Linked DNA regions of Yarrowia lipolytica. The protein of the gene in region 3 purifies or fractionates together with the protein of the main gene of each other region. This does not show direct contact. Links are inferred from orthologs where the notes say so. Each region holds a gene or a part of one and is shown on either strand. Other genes may lie near its edges.

Region 1 (3,950 bases), on a different chromosome or scaffold from region 3:
GATGAGTCGAGGATGAGCAACTCAGGGCTAGACGGGTGGTTGTGAGTTTTTGGTTTCCAAACTCACAATGGGCACGTCTGAGGGGGATATCGCAAGCAGTGCTGTAGAGACGACGAGATCGACACAGCGCCAATAACTTTACATGTATACACATTCAACTGCCGATTCTGGCCACATACACTAACCATTCATCAAGGGTTATACAAATACATTGCATTATGTTTACATCTATGCTATATGAACCGCACTGGTTCATGTTAGGGATCGGTCTAATAGCAACTATGGCTTAACGACCTTCTTTTTCTTCTTCTTGAGAGGTTTTCGACCCAAACCAGCCAAAGTCTTCTCAGAGTAGGTAGTATCGCATGTAGGACATCTTCTGTTGCTGGGAATCTGGCTCATGATACACAGACAGACAGAGCAGACATAGCCAATATCCACCACCTGTTTAGTCAGGAAACATGCTGCTCGAAAGTCCACATTGGACTGGGTGGGCAGCACAATATGGGGTCGTAAACTGGGGTCTGAGATAAAGCCCGATAGCAGATACTGAACCAAACCCTTGGGTGTTTTGGAGTTCTTTTCACTGATATCCATGTAGATGCCGTGTGTCGAGTCGCATGCTTGTTGCAGAAAGACCTGGTCGGATCCAGGACCCAGTTTGCACACATCGACGGGGATCTTGAGCTTTTGGGCGGCGAAAATGCAGTTCATAGTAGGGATGTATTGGATGGTTTCGTTTTTGTGTCCGACGGTGAGCAGCAGGATCCTTGCTCGCATTCTCGACTCGTCCACAAACACATGTTTGTTTATGAACCCTAGAGCTAGACTCAGTGCTCCGGAGATGGCCGAGTTGTGTTGTTTCTCCTCCTCCACGTAGTTGGTGTGGTTCAGCATGTTCCACAGCTCCGTCTGCACAACCTCGTCCACCGTCTTGAATTGTCTGTACATGGAGTGGTCCTTCTTGCTGGGTGCCTGTTCTCCATCGCTTACACTCTCCGATCTCTCTTCTCTCTCCTTTGATCTAGTCGATTCAACGCCGCTTTTAGGAGGATACAAAATTCGAGCACCACTGGCGTTGTATCCAATCACATTAACGCTGTTGGAGTTGTGCAGAGCCAAGTGGGCGTTGATGAAGACGAGAATGGAAGCCACAGCCTCCGAGATGGATATTTGCGACTTGATTTCTTCCCACGACGGCACATGGGCGTCAATGATGATCGACAACAACGACGGCGTGTCGTCCAGAGTCTGATCCTCCGTGTCCTTGAGCTGGCGGGACGTTCCATCAATGGCGTTCATGGTGGTGGAGGAAGGCTTCGGTGTCTGAAAAGTAGATGTTAGATAGAGGATTTGAGTTTGCTGATTTGAATGAGCTGCGAAAGTACCAGTACAATCCTGTCTTGTACTTGTACGAGTGTACAGTTCTTTTTACACGTGTATAGGGGTGGGTACATATTGATGTGATCATGTGATATAATTAGTTGATACTGTACTGTGAGTGGGATTACTTATCCAGTTCCTTTCTTCTCGGTCTCCATCAAAGCTTAGTCATGTCATATTTCAGTGGTCAGCCAGCCTGAACTTACCTCCCTACAATATCGTGCCAGTAGAGTGAATCGAACTCACGCCACTGCCCATACAATTGTAACATGTCGCTCTATCACACTCAGGGTTCGTATTTGAAGCTGTTATGCATCACTGATCGGTTCGAAACTCGGCCCGGATCTTCAATCCATGGTCCAAAGTGCTCAGAATGTCCCGGCTTCCACTTCCGCTTCCTCATTCTTCTTTTCATTTCATACACCCCGTCTACAAGTAGTGCCTTCCTCATAACAGAGTTCGAGTCTCATGCAGGTCTAAACCTCCACTGATATTTTTCATTTAAGCGTTCACCTCATTTTCGAGTTTTGGCCTGACCCCTATATACCCCAAGACACTCCCCAAAATGGCCGCCACCAACAGACAGATCTTGACGCAGGGCGACCGGTCATACGCCAAGAAAAAAACTAGCCAGTTTGGCGTGGATGAGGTCTCCTACGACGCCGCCAACCGGAAGGAGTACCTGACGGGCTTCCGAAAGCGAAAGCTGCAACGAAAGGAAAAGGCGCAAGAGAAGGCCAAGGAGCAGGCGCGGCTGGACCGGATCGCCGAGCGGAAAAAATTGCGAGACGAAAGAAAAGGTGACCAGGAAAAGGAGCGAGCTCGAATGCAGAAGGCCATGAAGGATATCGAGAGAGCTCGATCGGGCTATTTCAGCACTGACGACGAGAAGGATTCTGATTCTGGCGACGAGTCTGAGGATGAAGAGGAGGACGAAGAGGAGGACGAAGAGAAGACTTTAAAGAAGTCGAAAAAGTCGTCTAGCACTGATGAAGACGACTTCTCCGACTGGGAGGGTATCGATAAGCCCGGAGTGCTCAAGAAGCAAAAGAAGAAGTACGTGGACGGTCAGGGAAAGAAAACCACGGTGACCATTGAGGCCGTGTCCCTTGATTCCGATGATGAGGACCAGAACAACACATATGTGGACATGTCCAAGGCTGACGAGGTCTTGAAGGAAAGCTTGGACAAGGCTGGTCTGGCCGCTGTCTACTCCGGCATGGCTGAGCCCAAGGTCAAGAAGCTGGTCAAGAAGACCAAGAAGAAGTTCCGATACCTGTCTTCCACTGAACGAAAGAAGAACCTGGACAAGGAGCGAGCTCGAGCCAAGGCCAAGCGAACCAAGAAGGAGTAGGACACGTTGGACCGTACTGGTAGATAGTTTATTGCATGCATGTATTATAGGATAGCCAGGAATAGGGCGTAGATATGGTTGGAGTGAGTTGTAACGAGTTTCAGTGTGTTGCGTGTGATATGAATTCAACACCGAAGTGCGAACTTACTACGTATATATCTACAGTACATACTGTACTATTATCAGATCATTAGCCGTTACTCCTGGATAAATAAAATGCTCGAATACTTCTTTACAGCATATACACAAACTCCTTCTGGGTCTCACTGATGGTCGCATGATTTGTTCCACTGATGCGTCGTCGTTTCAGAAAGAAGACAATACCCAGAGTACCAAATACCGAAGCGATCATGAACCCCATGTTGATCCAACATCCCCGTTTGAAGAGTGGACCATCTGTTGAGGTGAAGACTCTCAGGACCAGTACTCCATACCAGCAGCTCACAGACGAGAAAATGGCGAAGGACATGAGTCGCTTGTTTCTGCCCTGAACATTACTCCCCAGCCATCCACAAAGAGAAGCAAAGGCAGCAGTTGCATTAGGAATCGTGAACCAGCCCCCTCCGAATTTGATCCACCAGTTGTGTTCTGAAGGCTTGCACAGAATAAGTGCCCATCCAATGATGCAGAAGAGATAATTCATGAGCAGAAACGGGGACAAAACTTTTTTCTGGGCAACCAAATACCCCTGAAAACTTGACCAAATGACACCAAACACGAGAATAGTCCATATGATCAACTGTCCCAAGGCTGCGGTATACTCCAACTCTTCAAAAGTCGCACTTTGAACCTGTGCATAGCATGACACCAAACAGGAGTATGTAAAGAAGCCAAGGATGGAGATAAACCAAACCAAGGGATCTTTTGCAGCGGAAATCAGACCTTCTAGAGGTGTCTCGGTCGGTTCAATTGGGTTTCCTCCTCCGTAATCTTCTTCAGTAAGTGTCTTGAAGACGTTGAATGCCTGCTCTCCGTACTTCGATATCCATTTTGGAGAGTAAAAGTTCTCAGGGAGCATGTACCAGACCACCGGAGCAAACACTACTGAACATAGGCCGGCTATAAAAAAGTCCCAAGACCATCCGGGTTTGCCTGCATTGATGAGACGAATCGCGATGGCCAGCATAGTGAACAGGGGGACCATGAACCAACTTCCACCCCAGACACAACCGACCACAAAGTGAGCCTCGTATCGGCCATGGTGTTCATAAAT
Region 2 (4,060 bases), on a different chromosome or scaffold from region 3:
CAGGCAAGATGAAGAGGAGACAGTCGACGACTTTTATGCCAAGTTCCGACTGCTGCGAGATAACCTACCCGAAAGAGATCCAGAGTCAATTGCTAAGGTGCTCTTTGTGAACGCCCTGCGGCCAGGCTTGCATGAAATCGTTGTACGCCAGTTTCATGATTCGGTTGAGTCGACCTACAAGACCGCCAGACTCGTAATGGTGCTGCAGGACAGTGTTGAGAGCAGCACCCGAGCAACAGGCAGCCAGACCCAGAAAGCTACGGAAAATTTTGGTGACCAGAATAGCCAGAAGGCAAACAAAGCGACTCGGACTAATAAAACGATTGGTGTTAAGGCATGCTTCTTGTGCAACCAAACAGGTCACTTGGTCAGGGATTGTCCCCAGTACCAGGCGAAATTCTGCTTGCACTGTCGCACTAACGATCACTCGACTGCCGATTGTCTATTCAAATATGGACCCAACCGCAAAAGAGACAAAAAAGTACCCATCTGTTACAAGTGCAGTGAGAGTGGTCATATTGCCAGAGACTGCACTTATTCTCCGTTTGGTATAACCTATGTGCGTGGTCAGTCAACCGCTGGCAGGTCGTCGTGCTCGCCTCCTAAGGCAGCTGTTGAAAAGGGAAGCGATACGAGTTATGCCGAAAGTTCGGGCTCACTTGAGGGAGCTATCGAAACAGCAAGCGATGCTGACCGCCAAGCTCAAAGTGATGGTGATGATAAGCTCTCTGAAATGCTGGGATATGGTCATGGAACTGACTACTCCCCACCGTCTCCCATTACAAAGTGTTTTCGTTGCAGGGAATTTGGCCACTTGACTCAAGAGTGCACTGCCCCTCTGGAAATGTCGCATATCGAATACACATCGAAGGACAAGTGCCTCAGGTGCAAGAAGAGAGGTCACAGAGATATAGACTGTCCGGAACCAAATACAGCAGAGACCGAATCCCTCGAGGCTGAGACCCATGAGACTAATTCTGTGGCTTCTGCGGACTCTGTGGAACCTGTGGACCTCATTGAAAATCAGCCGGTTGAAATATCTCAAGGAGAGGTTCATTCCACCGAAGACCTGGGGTTTGCATCGGAGTAACCGTTCATTTGACAAAACATTGTGTGGTTCGGGTAATGTGTACAAGTGGTACATATGGTACATAATACATACATACTTAGGTCATTCAAACATGCGATTTTATTCCAGTCTATAAGTACATTTCCGTGTGTAAGCACCGTTAGTGGCTGTTCATCCCCTTTGCTTAGTCAAAAGTCATCTTCTTACCAGTGCTTTTGACGATACCCACAGAGGCTCTCTGGGCACTGGCCAGGACCTGTCCAGGCTTCTTTCGCGAGTAAGGTCGGTCCTCCTTGCTTCTCTTAGGCTTATCGTATGACTCCTTGTTCTCGGTGTATGCAGGCTTATCCTCAACCTGGGCAGGCTCTGAGTACTCCTTCTGTGCGGACTGACTCTCGTCAGCGACAGCACCCTCGACCTTTCGAGGCTTGGGCACTCGCTTACTTCGGTCTTCTCCGGCCTCGAGACGCAGAGTTCGACCCTCGAGGTACTTGTACAATCGTCCCTTAAGAGCTTTTCGAGTAGCGTCGGCGTCGTAAAAGTCCACAAAAGAGAAGCCCTTTGACTTGCCGGTATCTTCAAAAGACATCATTCGAACCCGTCGAATATCTCCGCAGGACTTGAAGTGGTCCTGCAGCATCTCCTCGGTTGCGTTGAAAGGCAGGTTTCCAACAAACAGCACCCGTGAGTCTGTGTCTGTAGGGTCCTTCTTCTCGGGCCGTCCCTCGAACGAGTTTGCGTTCTTGATAAGAAGTTTTCGGCCGTTAAGGATCTGCTCTGACAGGGAGACCAGTCGCTCCATCTTCTCGGCGGTGGGGACGTCAACGTAGGCGAAACCCTTCACCTTCTTGGTAACCTTGGACTTGGGCAGGTTAATTCGAAGCAAATCGTCCTCCTCAATCACCACCGCGTCGGAGTCCTCTTCAGATTTACCCAGCTTAGCCAGAATGAACCGCTTGATATCCTCCTTGCAAGTGTCGAACGACAGATTGCCAATCCACACTCCATGTTCGGACTTTTTGGACTTGCCCTCCTCCTCATCATCGGCCTTCTCGACAGGCAGCTTTCCCTTCTTTTCGAGACGCTTCTGTTTCTTGGACAGAGGAGCGGACTTTTCCAAGTCGATCTCAATTTCCTCCTCGATCTTTCGCTTGACGGTCACCTCGGAATCACTCATGTTGTGGTGGTAGCTGAATTTTGTCTCGAGGCTGAATTTTTTTCAGATAATGCAGGCCGCCAATAGAGTTTGAGGGTGGTCGATTTTTTTATTAATGAGTTGAAAATACGTCCCAACTATGATGCGAACTCGGGTGCATTGGAATTATTCAAGGTGGAGAGGTGACAACGGTAAAGAACATCCCAAGTATTATTGATTAAATATAGTTAATTTACCGACTTACAACTCACCTAAGGCGGCGCCGGCTATCCTCACCCTGCCCAGACCAATTTCTGGCCTTTCTGCTTTCAGATGCTTCTTCCCTTGTAACACACTCTTCTTACTATTTGTCACTGCCTCATACAGACCTTCACCTTTCTTCACCTTGCGTTTTCCCATCTATTGGGTGAAGTCGTCATTATAGTATCACAAAGCGATTGCTGACCTCCTTATCAAAGAAAACGCCTGTCTTCTTTGGGGTTTCCTCCGACACCATTCTCAAAGAAAACATCACTATGTTCACAACAGAGATGAGTGTCTTTTAAAGAATCTTGGTAACTGGTAAATCGAAAGAACCTTCGAAATGGCAATGCCCAACGGGAGATAGTGCATCGGCTAAAGAGGGATTCAAACACTTGCAATGCCAGCTTGTGCTTCAGAGTTCTGCGGCTGCGTATGGTGGCTGAATTGGTGACTGACTTGGTGGCTGATTGTGTGGCTCTCGCTGATCTCAATTGTCACGATGGCAACTGTTGATCTCACTGATGAGGTTACCAATAGTAATCCAAGTTGTTGATGGACCCTGCGGACGTGGGACACTGCTGAGGATGTGCGAAAATGTGTCGTGTACGTATCATTTTCTTGCACTTCTGGCACTTGTAATATTTGACGGGGATGTATGACATGATGTGATCGGAGTGAACGTTGGATGGCGTAGCTTGCTGGCGCTACAAGGATAACCGCCCTCTATATATGTCCGTCCTGTTAATCACATACCCAGGTCATGACTCGATCTGTTTCATCGGACAAACGAAATGGGGATTATTTCAGAAGGAACAATGAGGCTTGCACTCATGTGCATATCAACACTTGATGAACGCAATAAAGTGCATATTGGCACTTGCTGTAAGTGCTAATCATGCGAAGATGAGGATGACCTGCTTGTAGGCTACGATACGATACCTGTATCGTAGCCTCTGGGACTCATTTACAGTGACATGAGCTCGATGGGAGGCTCAAATACCCAGTTCATGTGGCAATAATTTGCTAGGTCCACTTTTGTTCCACACATAATAAAGCATGTTCGAGAGAGTGTATTATTATCAAGATACATCACTGTCGGCAAAGTCTTCGTCTCCCCGTCTGATACAAACTCGTGTCTTAAAAGGAGAGATAACTTCTGGATGCGGCTTGAGATGAGCAGGAATCGCGACTTGCATGAGCAGGAATGGGGCACAGTACGAGCACTGTTCTAGGACAAGTGTTGTTTTGCCGATACATTATAATCGTACATCAGCAGGATTTCATTTCTAGACTGTGAGAAAAATTACGATGCTGTGAGAAACACTACGATATTGTGAATCGGTGTCTTGCTATGTCGACAGTGTTATTTCTGATACATCACGTACTCTTTGTACATTGTTTGGGTCACCGGGAAGGTCATAACAGCATTTGGTTTTGGGGCAAAGTCGTCAGCGTCAGAACGAGGTTTGGGATTCGATTTACTTGAAGTGTTCTATCGTACAACTACAACATACAAGCGTCTGGTTGGGCAATTTGATGTGATACGGCTATTGTAAAAAATGCTCGATTTTTACTACACCTTTTCTACGGAG
Region 3 (5,282 bases):
TCGGGTCACCAGAAACGCAGGGTCGGTGACAATGTGAGGACCCACTCTCACGTGACCCTGCTCGATCATGGCAGTTCCAGCGTCCAGTTTTTGGGTCATCTTGAGTTTGTGCATGATGACGGGGAGTCGTCGCTTGGCGATAGCAGACACAGATATCTTGGTCTCCAGATGCGAAACGGTGGTGTTAGTGGAAAGAATGCCCATCTGGTAGAGTTTGTCGAGAAGCAGCTTTTCGTGCTTGATTCGAACAGGGTCGTCCGGTTGGAGCTGAGATAGCTTGTATGCTAATTGTCGGATCTTACCGCAGATTTTGTTGTACTTGTTGTAGTCGTCTCGGTCCTGCAGATGGAAGGTGCCCATCACCTGCTGTTCACGGTGGCCATTATCTGTCTTCCAGTTGACAAAGTCGACCTTCTTGAGCAGCTTGCCCTCGTGGTGCTTGAACTGTCGTACCATTTTGTCAAAGGTGTTGTGAAGAAGTGGTGATATCTTTCCCTGCACCGTGAAGAATAATTTGGGATTTTTTTGATATAGAGTTTTGCCATGCATAGAAGCGAGTATCAAGGAAAATGCTTAGATGGGTATTTGGTGTGACTACCACCGAGACTACTTGTAGTATTGTTTGTGTTGGTTTTTGGTTTGATTTTTTATTTTTTTTAGTTATTTTTATTTATTTATTTTCCAACTATTAAATATGCCATACCTTGGTAACTTGTTAATACTTCCTTTTCGATCTCCTTCTATTTCATTTGGAAATTCTCAACATTTCTGATCTATGGATTGATCTTTCCAAAAAAAATATATATGTATATATCAAAGCATCCCTCTCTATCGTATGCACTTGTACGCGAGTGGCAAACAACTCTTTACTTGTAGTAAAACAGTATCCTCAACTTATCCTATCATACCTCTATTACCAAATATATCTTTATACAACGTGTTTTCGCTTAAAGCAGGTCAACAATGAGCTTGGAACCCTTGTTTCCATCCTCGGCAGCAGCAGCAATCTCCTTCTTACTGTCCTTGAGAGTCTTTTTGAGCTCCTTCTTCAGCTTATCGTCCTCCAGGTTCTCCAACAGAGTCACAATGACAAAAGCACCGTCTCCAGTGGCCCATGCGACAACGTGATCCCCAATTGCATCGTAGAACTTGGCACCGAAGTCGATGGGAGTCTCGACCTTGACTACCTTCTTCTCCTTGTTGTTCCAATGTCCCTGTTGAATGAGGGTTCGCAGAGCTCGCTGAGCGTTGGGCTGCTTGATGACGTGGTTGTCACCGGCGGGATCGGCAGACAGAACCTCCATAAGAGCAGCGATAGCCTCAGACTTGTCACCGTCACACGACAGAAGAGCCTCAGAAATGAACTGAGAACCCAGGGTGTCGTTCATGAGCTCGTAAGCGTTGTTGGCAATGGCCTCGAGAATCAGAGGGGACATTCCCTTGTTGATCTCCTCCAGTCGAAGAGCATCATCCTTCTTGGCAGTACCAGTTGCGGTCTTCATCTCATCGTACTGCTTGAGCTGATCCAGAACCAGCTTGTTGAAGTATCGAGAGTCTCGGCCTAGCATGGCATACAGGAAGGGTCGTCGACCGTTCTTGTCCATGAACAGCTCATGCACGGGCTTCTCGGAGAGCTCACCAGAAAAGGCCTTAACAACACTCTTGGTATCGTCAATGGTGTCAAAAGCAGTCATCATGACCATGTGTCCGTACTGATCAGCAGCCAGGGTGTCGGCAAAGCTCTTGAGCGACTTGAGAAGACCCTTCTTCTCCTTGGCAGAAGCCATGGCCAGAGTCTTGCAAGCCACCTGCGATCCCTCGTTAGTATGCACCATCTCTGCAAACTGCTCGCCAATCAGATCGATGAATTCGGTCTTCTCCGAGTTGTTGGTGTCAAGGTTGCTGACGTACTCAAGCATGGCAGCATGAATGACGGTGAAACCAATGGAACCCTTGTTGACAGCAGCAGTGATAGTTTCGTTCAGGTTTCGCATGATGATGGGTCGCTTCTCGGGGGCGTCCTCGATAATATCCTTAAGGGTCTTTGTGCCAGCAGCGTCTCGGAAAACGGCAAACTCGGCACCGAAAAACTCTTGGATGATTTGTCGCTTCTGAGCAGCAGTGCTGTAGTCTCTGTAGGCATCCTCCAGCACATAGGCACCCTCCTTATGACGCATGAGCTTTCGGAACCGGCCGTGCAGCTCGTCAATAATAGATTGTCGAACGGCAGCAGATCCGTAATGCAGCATCTTGACCAGCAGGTACTTTCCGTAAGACGAGATGGCCAGGTCGTAGTAGTTGCCCTTCAGCGCCTTTGTGATGATCTCTCGCTTCTCCTTGTCAGCGTACTTGAACAGAGTCTGGATAATTCGCGATGCGTCGTGCTTGAGAATCAAGTTCTTGATATCGTTCTTGGAAATGGCCCAGATATCCTCCACCAGCTGCTTTCGCTCAGCAGGCTTGACACCAGTCTTCATTCGGAGCCGCTCCCAAATCTGCTTGATCTGAGCGATACTCTCTCCTCCAGATCGAGCAAGCTTTCGTTCCTTCAACAGGCGCTTCTGCTCAGCATGGCTCTCGGCAGCACTAGACTTGCCGGCAGGGGCCTCCTCTCCGTCCTCCTTGGTCTCCTCATCCTCCTCGTCGTCGTCAAGAGCGTCCTCTTCGTCATCTTCCTCCTTCTCCTCGTCGCTGTCGCTCATCTCCATGTCGTCAGAATCGGAGTCATCGGAGTCCTCCTCCTGATCCTGTTCCTCATCAGTAGATGCAAAATCCTCCTCGGAAGAAGCCTCTTCGACCTCCTCAACCACCTTCTTGGCGCCCTTCTTGCCAGTGGACTTCTCCACCAGTTTGACCTTCTTGGACACCGTCTTCTCTCGACTGTCAGCTGATCGTTTAGCAGAACCCATTGTGTGTAATGTGTAGTGTATAGCTGTGTCTGTGGCCGAATATGCGAGTTTGAAAAACTTCAAAAATAATTTCGAATAAGCTTCATAAAATTTTAGAACCCTTACCCGTATCAGTGGTGAGCGAACGAGGCGATTCTAACGCCACTTGGGCAGAATGTGGGGAAATATATGTACAGGGGGAAGTTGTTCTTGTCTTATATATGGCATTTTTCAAGATGTATGTTTTTTTAAGTCACTAAATAACTCTTTTAAGGCACTATTCTCTTGTCTGATTCTGGGTGTCTTGTACACACCAGCTATCCAACAATAGTATTAAGTAAACAAAGTATATTTAGTTGATCAAATTACCTCAATAGAAAGAGTAAAATAGCCACGAAATTCAAAGAATATTTCATATCGTAGCTGTTCTCTATAATGCTTGCCATTTGTGTACTTGTACAATACGTATATGTTACTGTTTTCGTCAGCTTCGCCATGTATCCTTTGTTGCCAGTCTCAGAATGCAAGTGTACCGGTGACAGATTACCCAGACGAACAACCCATAGCAGTGGCACGGTAAGGTCGTGTTCATATCAACCGAAAGCTCTTACTCTGACAATCGTTACTTGTATTTAGAACTGATACTCTTTTTTTTTAGTTCTAATGACCTTCAATCATATTGTGAAGCGTCTAAAAAAGTGCCCTCGACTAAATGCTGTACAACATTGACATTCACACGGACCATGTCTGGGCTCTGGTTACTCTATAAATAAAATGTAATCACCGGTAATTACACCGGACAACACTGGTAGTTGAGGGCGTACTCAAATGAGGTGAAAGGGGTTGGTCTTGCCCATTGCAACTTGGATCTCTGAGGATCCGAGAGCATCCAGCTCGAAGCTAACCAAGAGTAGAAAGCTGAGCGAGGCACAGGGCGTTCATGGGGAGAAGGATGGAAAAATATAAATAACTAATGATCGAGGTTCATCTGGTTGACGAGATGCTCAATGTCCCGGGCCTCCAGTTCCAAGGCTTCCTGGATCATCCGTTCTTCTTCGTCTTCCAGTGCGCCATCTTCGTCGTCGGTCAGATCCATGACTACGTCCACGTTTCCGTCGAGATCGCCGTCGACGAGCCCATCGACAGCTCCATGGACCGATTCGTGAGACTGTAACTCGTCTCGCAACAGCTGTTCCAGCTGGTGCTCATCGCCAATGTCTGGCAGCTCAAGGGCTCCTGCCTCCACCAAGAGACGCAAGTCGCGGGCCAGTTCGCCCTGGATGACGTCCGCCTCCATTTCAGAGATAGCAGTTCTTTTGGCCAGCACATTTTTGATGCGTCGCAGCCGGAGGTGCTGTTGGTGAGCGGCCACGTGGCGGTTGCGGGTATCGTACACGTCCTCGTCCACCATGCCGCGCGTCGCCACCCGATACTTGCCGTTTTCGGCTGGTTTGGTTGCACTCATGGCATGCTGGAGTGGATCCAAAGAGAGGTGCGGAATGAAATGTTCGGATCCAGATGCACAAGAAAAATCAGGTCCCAATCAGTGAGCAGGGTAACTGTATTTCTGAGGACGGTTCCTCTCAGCAGGGTAATAGGAGGGTGGAAGTGGTGGCAGAGGGCTATAAAATAGTATTTGTGTCACTATAATAAGACAGATTGATTCCGGTTGATGTTTTTTCTGGTGGAAAATCCACTTTTTATCTCTTCAGCTTGCCTATGACCCGTGCTATAGGGGTAGGTCCAACCTACAAGTAGAGTCAGTAATTACTTAAGACAGCACCGAACGAGATATTATATATATACTAAAAACACGGCGGTTGTAAGAGCACCGCCATTCAAATATAATACAAGTGCCGTACTGATTGTTGATGTCAGGAACCACTGCTCGTACGCCGATGTTCCTGGTACAGTCTAGTCCAAACGACACCCTATCTATCGTACCAGTATGTACTCGTACTCGTACTCGTACATAATTAGATCGCGAACCTCAGCACACTGCGTATAGTCGTTCCGACAAGGACTGCAGAGTAAATGCTGTAGCATCTGTGGGAGTGTTTGTTTGCATCGCATCATTCTGCAACAACAGTTGTATTCTCTTTTGATAGGTCGGTCTCTCCGTGCGAGATATTCCATCTTCTATCCTACATTGTACAGTAGTGCCTGTGCCTATGATCCGTGTATAGATCACCAATCCCCTTCGGCCGTTTCTATATCTACAATATGGGGAAAACTTCTGACAGACTATTCCCCAACAACGACTTATTACTGACTGTACACAGCTGTCATACACTGTAACCGAGATGCACGATCAATGTTGAGCTACTCGTGACCCGTCTCATTACAACTGCAATTATCGTGTGTTTACCGTACCTGTACCTGTACAGTAGACGT
Region 4 (6,302 bases), on a different chromosome or scaffold from region 3:
GTTTGAAACAAGACACGCGGTTCGTGACTCTTCCACAGCCGGCTCCGCCGTTCCTCGAGTTCCTCCGATGCCCCGCTTGCCAGACGTTGGTCTTGAGTATCGAAAGGAGAAACCACCGGTTGACCAGGTGTCCGAAGAGGATGTAAGGGTGTGAGCAACTTGTTTGGATCAACATCTGACGGATATACATCTGACGATATACATCTGACGAATATCCAAGTTCTCTAAAAAAATATAACATGTGACAATCACCCGCCTCTCGAACCATCTGAAACCCCCCATACCACAATACGCTACAATCATTGAAGCTCGTCTAATGCCAATGAACACCAAGTACCCACGTTACGACATGTTCCATCGTGACTTTGTCTGCGGTACAGCTATAACTACACGTGAAGCTGGGTTTCTCCTCTACCACTTTAAAGACCTAGGAAAAGTACATTTATAGAAGGCGGTTGGGCAAGTGATGATTGTACGGCAGTTAATCGCTCCAGGCTGTATCTCACATAGTTCTGACTACAGTGTCTGTACTTGCTACCTTGCTACTTCAGTGAACATACAGTAGTAGGCTTTAGTTGGGTTTAGTTGGGAATATATGTATCGTAAGAAAAAAAAAAAATGCGGAAAAAAATGCGGAAAAAAATGCGGAAAAAAAATGCAGTTGAAAAAGTGTCAAATGATATACAGAGTCCAAATGCCAGAGAATTTATCTAAAGACATCAAGTTACACTATCACGCAGCCATATGTCTACTGCGACCAGATCGGCTCTTACGGGAATCAGTGTATATTACGTACAACCGTCCAAACCTCTTGAAGCGGCCTACAGTATCAACTCACTTCAATCAGCAATATCAATTTTCATTTACGTACATCTTACACAATAGTCAGAGCAATAACAACGTACCAGGCCATTTATAACAGTGGCTTGATGTTGTCCGCTCCTGATCTCCTAATCTCCGAGATCCCTTATTTGATTCCAAAAGTAGTCTTGAGGTTTCTGAGCAACAGCCAGTCCTCTCGGGGCACGTCGTTTCGGAAAACGGGGTCCTTGAGAGTATCAATGGACTTTCGGGTGATGGACGAGTACAGAACATCCTTCTCGTCAATGTGTCGGCCCCAAGTAGGCTGTCCGGAAGAAGTATCGATTCGCATAGCCACACCAGCGTTGGTCTGGCCCTTTCGAACAACAGATTCGGACTTGTGGTTCACCTCCATGGAAGTCACCTTACCGAGCTCGAGCACCTCTCGTGCACCGGTCTCGGGGTTGGTCTTAACGGCACAGATGGGGGTTCCAATTCGCAGAGAGCCCTCAACAACGTCGACACCAATGATCATGGGCGATCGCTTGTTGATGATCTGGACAGTGTGCAGAACACAAGGGAAAACGGCCTTGTCGATGGTGTCCAGTCGCTTCTGCTCCTGCAGCTTCTTCTGGTGCTTGACAAAGTCGTCAAACAGATGGTAGATAATATCAGCCGAGAAAAGCTTGACACCCTGCTCGTCAGCATATCGCTCGGCGTCCTTGTCGATCTTGACGTCGAAACACAGCATGATGGCCAGCGACTTGTCCTTCTCCAGCATGGTGGTGGCTCGCATCACATCCTTTTTGTAGACGGGACCTAGAGCAATGGACATGACGGGGATCTTCATATCCTTGAGGAAGTCGAGAAGAGCCTCCAGGGAACCAAGAGTGGAAGCCTGGACACACACACCACGTCCAGACTTGTCAACGGAGTCAAGGAGGCCGGTAAGATCGTCCATGACATCGTCCATGAGTTCCTCCTCATCATCATCAGGACCCACAAGCAGCAGACGAGAACCAGCCACGGCCTTGTCCAGGTCGTTGGCGGCAATCTTGACACCGAGAGCAGCCTTGACCTCCTTGTGGTGCTGGTAAGCAGACTTGATTCGCAGCTCTCTGAGCGGCTGGGGAGTGAGTAGAGCTCTGACGTTGGTGGCAATGGGGCCGTTTTGACCGCAAAGCACGACTCGGTCACCCTCGCGCAAGACACCGTTGGACAGAACAACATCGATGGTGGTTCCGAAACCTTCGACAACCTTGACTTCCAGAACGGTGGCCTCGAGCTCAGACAGGTACATGAGCTGCTTGGACATTCGGCTCTGAGTCAGCTGCAGCAGAAGAGCGAGCAGATCGGGAATACCCTCGCCGGTGATGGCGGAGGTGGGGACCAGAGACACATTCTTGGCCAGGTTCTTGTTCTTGTAGTAGACCTCAGAGTTGAGACCCTGCTCCATAAGAGCGGTCTTGGTCTTCTCGAGTCGGTCCTCAAACTCCCGCAGCACAGACTTCTTCTGCTTGGAGAGCGAATCTCGGAACGAGTTGTTGGGGATGGCCTCCCAGTCGAAGAGTCGATCAATCTTGTTGAGAGCGACCACGAAGGGCGTCTTCTTGTCTCGCAGCAGCTTGATGGACTCAATGGTCTGGGGCTCGAGGCCGTGCATGATATCAATCACCAGGATGGCAATGTTACACAGCGACGAACCTCGGGATCGCAGGTTGGTGAAAGACTCGTGACCGGGGGTATCGATCACCAGCAGACCAGGCACGTGGTAGTCAATCTCGCCGTACTGCTCCATGACCTCCGTCTTCTTTTTGATGGCCTCGATAGGGAAGTAGGTGGCACCAATCTGCTGAGTAATACCTCCAGCCTCGCCCTCCTGCACGTTGGTTTGTCGCACCTTGTCCAGAAGCTTGGTCTTACCGGTATCGACGTGGCCCAGAATACAACAAATGGGAGATCGCAGGTTTCCGGCATTGGCAGATGCAATGGCTCGCGAGTGCTTGGCGGCACGCTTCTCGGCAATGGCAGCAGACTTTCGTCGGGCCTCTTCAAGAGCCTCCTCGGCAGCAACTCGCTGTCGCTCCAGCTCGGTCTCGTCGTTGAGCTGGGTGCCCTCATCAGCAGCCTTCTGACGGGCCAGAGCGGCAGCCTGGGCCTCAGCTTCCTTGGCAGCAGCCTCAGCCTCCTCCTTGGCCTTGATGGAGGGGTCTTCCTTCTTGGTGATTTCAATCTCGCCATTCTCGTCGGCCATGGCCTCCCAGTCGTCCTTGACTTCTCCGTCAGAGTCCAGGGCAGTCTCCCAGTCGTCCATAAGGGCGTCAACATCGTCCTCCTCGGGAGACTCGGCCTCCTTCTTGACCTCCTTGGGCTTCTCAACAACCTTGTCCTCAACCTTGGGCTGCTTCTGGGCAGGAGTTCTGGTGGGCAGTCTGTTGTTGGTCTGCTTGGCGGGTGCTCGTCCACCGCCAACAATCATTCCGGCAGCCAGCATCTGCTCTCGTCGAGCCTCGGCGGCAGCTCGCTCCTGCTTCTGCTTCTTGGTCATATAAGTACCCTCAGCCTTCTGTCGCTCGACCTTCTGTCGTTCTCGCTCCTTCTTGGCGAGCCGTGCAGCCTCCTTCTCCTTCTCGGCCTCCTCAACAGCTCGCTGGGCAGCCTCCTCGGCAGCTCGCTCCTCCTCCTCGGCAGCAGCCATAGCGGCTTCCTGGGCCTTGATGGCATCCTGCTGGGCCTTGATCTTGGCAATAGCAGCAGCTCGGCCAGTCAGCTTCTTGGCGGGGGCGGCGGGGGCGGCCTCGGGCTCAGGAGACTTGGACTCGACCTTCTTGTCCTCCTTCTTGTCCTCCTTCTTGTCCTCTCCCTTGGCCTTCTTATCAGCAGCCTTTGCGTCGGCAGCGGCCTTTCGTGCGTCGGCAGCAGCCTTCTTCTTGGCCTTCTCCTGCTCCTTCTTGAGCTTGTCCTTCTGCTTCTTGGTCAGAATCACAGGAGCCTCCTCGGGCTCGGCCTTTGCGTCCTTGGCGTCTCGCGCGTCCTTCTTCTTCTTGGACTTTCGCAGCGCTCCCATCAGTCCTCCGCCCTCGAATTCGTCGGCAAGATCGTCCATAGTGGCCTCCTCGGGAGCGGCAGGGGTGGGCTCGGGGGTCGCAGAGGCGCTCTCATCGCCCTTGGGCACATCAGCAGCCCCAGCAGCCTTGTCCTCCACAGCAGGGGTCCCGTCGAGGTTCTGGGGAGTCGTGTCCATGCTCTCCTCCTCACTGTCGCTCCAGTCGCCGTAGCTTTGTTGCTTCTTTCCTTTCTTCGCCATCTTGTCGTGTCGTGAAAATGGTCAGGTATTCAGGTTGAGATGTGTAACTACATGGGTGAAAAAGTGAGAAATCACGTGATCCAAACCTTGTTACAAGAAGACACTGATTGCCCTCAAAGAGCGGGAAAAAAAAGGGAAAAGGACCGGTGGAAATGTGGCAAATCCCCGATATGAGATTTTTTTGTTTGTTTCTTAGGTTTCACATAACTCTGGCTCGGCTTTGTCGAACTACCGCAATCCACTTCTCAAACATATCAATCTAGGCCATATCTACGATTTCCTTGCAGCATCATCATTGCGCCAAACTAAAGTTTCCTTCAAAATTTTTCACAGATCGAACGCGGTTGTGGGTTCGATTCTGTGGTAGATACCATATAGTTGGTCTGGATGGGTGCGAGCATTGTCTTGCGCTCTTCTGAATACCTGGATCCGAGTCCGATATGGGGGTTCATATTTTTTTTTAGGCCTCTGTAGCCTGTGTTTGTATTTCCCCCTAGAATTAGAAATAAAAAAAAAAATAAAAATAAAAATAAAAATAAAATAAAAAAAAAATAAAATAAAAAAAATAAAAATAAAAATAAAAATAAAAAAAATAAAAATAAAAATAAAAAAATAAAAAAAAAAAAAAAAAAAAATAAAAATAAAAATAAAAATAAAAATAAAATATAAAAAAAAAAAAATAAAAATAAGATAAAATATTAATATATATATAATTAAATAAAAATATAAAAAAAAAAAAGATGGGGCATCGGACTAAAATAATGTACATACTGTTGCAGTACTTCTTGCAGTTAGTCTTCACCTTCATCTTAATCTTTAAGAGAGTAGTATTGAGAGTAGTCCAAACAAGTGGCATTGTGAGGAAACCAGCGAGTTGGTTGCCAGTCTCCACAAATGAAACAGTCTCGCTACCATTCACTCTCGCTACCATTCACTCTCGCTACCATTCACAGCTTCTCTGGTGAAGTGATATTGTCACGGATGGTCGCCTAGAGACTCCAGTTGTTGACCGCACTATCAATGTCCGGAACTACAGTGTCCAGAACCCCCCGCACTATCCGAGAGTCTGGACTGCTCTGCTCCATGTCCCATGAAACCCCAATCGTCGTCTGAATGAAGAAATGAAGCACCGATGGGGCTACTAGAACTTCACCAACTCTCACCTTGCCCGACGACTTTACTTGAGATCTGAGTACCCTCCTCGGTCTCAGCCGGTTTCAATTACGTCATTATTGGATCTCGGGCAAGTCATACTCTACCGCGCAGGAGTACGAGGCCATGAATCATGCCCTTGAACTTGCATACACCCATATTCCGGTCCTTGTTCTCGTGGAGAAGTTTCCCGGTGCCAGCGAAGACAAGATCCAGGGAGTTATCAACTACTATGGGCAGGATACATTAAGAATCTGAACGTGGCCAAGTACTGGGACAACTTTGACGCCATTGGCGACCTCAAGGACCACATCTTCGACAACAACGGTGATAAGGATGCGGATCTAGACTACACCAACCCTCCCCATGTTATCGTGAACTATATCATGCAGGATCCCGTTATCAAGAACCTCATTTTTTCGTGCCTCATGAAGTCGACGACTTACGAGCAAATACCGATGGGGACTGATGGACTTTGCCGACTCTTCTACTATGCCTACGCATCTCGACTGGTCGACTATTTTGGAGGACATCCGACACCTGAAGGAATCCACGACTGCCTACGACATTTATAGGAAGCTGGTCTGTCATACAGACATTGTCTATCTGCCTGGAGACGCCGACAACTCCAGGTTCATGGAGTGGGTCAATGCTATGGTTAAAGTCGAGGAGGAGTCCACCTTTGCGAGAGAAGGACCTGAGTTCTAGAGTGATCTCAACAGGCGCATGTTGGCCAACTTCAAACTCGAACCCACCATGAAAAGACGAGATCAAATGCTGACCAACCTGCGACTTTGAGACTACTCGAGCTACAATCTATGATATATATTCTGATTGGCGACAGGAGTCAGCTAAACCGGATTCAGTTGCGAGCTGTGACCAGGCCTGGTTCAACTGAACAATGGTAACGCCGCTTACAAGAAAAACTTTCGCGCAATGGAGTATTCGAAGAATGCTATTATCGACCTTCTTATGGAAGATGGCGTTTTTCTTCTCTGCGGTTTTCTCGGCCACAGTTATCAGGAAAATCACCGTTTTGATC

The links.
Region 1: the proteins of YALI1_F23109g (region 3) and YALI1_C05813g purify together in Saccharomyces cerevisiae (affinity purification with mass spectrometry; 3 studies listed by BioGRID, with this or other methods). This does not show direct contact. The link is inferred for Yarrowia lipolytica from reciprocal best matches to the Saccharomyces cerevisiae genes PUF6 and RRP17.
Region 2: the proteins of YALI1_F23109g (region 3) and YALI1_A03964g purify together in Saccharomyces cerevisiae (affinity purification with mass spectrometry; 4 studies listed by BioGRID, with this or other methods). This does not show direct contact. The link is inferred for Yarrowia lipolytica from reciprocal best matches to the Saccharomyces cerevisiae genes PUF6 and NOP13.
Region 4: the proteins of YALI1_F23109g (region 3) and YALI1_A01061g purify together in Saccharomyces cerevisiae (affinity purification with mass spectrometry; 3 studies listed by BioGRID, with this or other methods). This does not show direct contact. The link is inferred for Yarrowia lipolytica from reciprocal best matches to the Saccharomyces cerevisiae genes PUF6 and FUN12.

The regions. Positions count from the first base shown.
Region 1 is NC_090772.1:579,397-583,346, reverse strand, and holds YALI1_C05813g (uncharacterized protein), read left to right. Parts: upstream 1-1,948; coding exon 1,949-2,737; downstream 2,738-3,950. Other genes in the region: YALI1_C05837g (uncharacterized protein), read left to right, coding at 1-2; YALI1_C05820g (uncharacterized protein), read right to left, coding at 280-1,302; YALI1_C05789g (uncharacterized protein), read right to left, coding at 2,970-3,950. UniProt on the Saccharomyces cerevisiae protein: Essential protein involved in ribosomal RNA processing.
Region 2 is NC_090770.1:394,182-398,241, forward strand, and holds YALI1_A03964g (uncharacterized protein), read right to left. Parts: upstream 2,247-4,060; coding exon 1,254-2,246; downstream 1-1,253. Other genes in the region: YALI1_A03937g (uncharacterized protein), read left to right, coding at 1-1,090.
Region 3 is NC_090775.1:2,308,608-2,313,889, reverse strand, and holds YALI1_F23109g (uncharacterized protein), read right to left. Parts: upstream 2,910-5,282; coding exon 948-2,909; downstream 1-947. Other genes in the region: YALI1_F23133g (uncharacterized protein), read right to left, coding at 1-549; YALI1_F23095g (uncharacterized protein), read right to left, coding at 3,859-4,353. UniProt on the Saccharomyces cerevisiae protein: RNA-binding protein involved in post-transcriptional regulation. Component of the ASH1 mRNP which transports the ASH1 mRNA to the distal tip of the bud, where the ASH1 protein is translated and targeted to the daughter cell nucleus.
Region 4 is NC_090770.1:102,045-108,346, forward strand, and holds YALI1_A01061g (uncharacterized protein), read right to left. Parts: upstream 4,109-6,302; coding exon 968-4,108; downstream 1-967. Other genes in the region: YALI1_A01074g (uncharacterized protein), read left to right, coding at 5,387-5,453, 5,501-5,681, 5,710-5,968. UniProt on the Saccharomyces cerevisiae protein: Plays a role in translation initiation. Translational GTPase that catalyzes the joining of the 40S and 60S subunits to form the 80S initiation complex with the initiator methionine-tRNA in the P-site base paired to the start codon.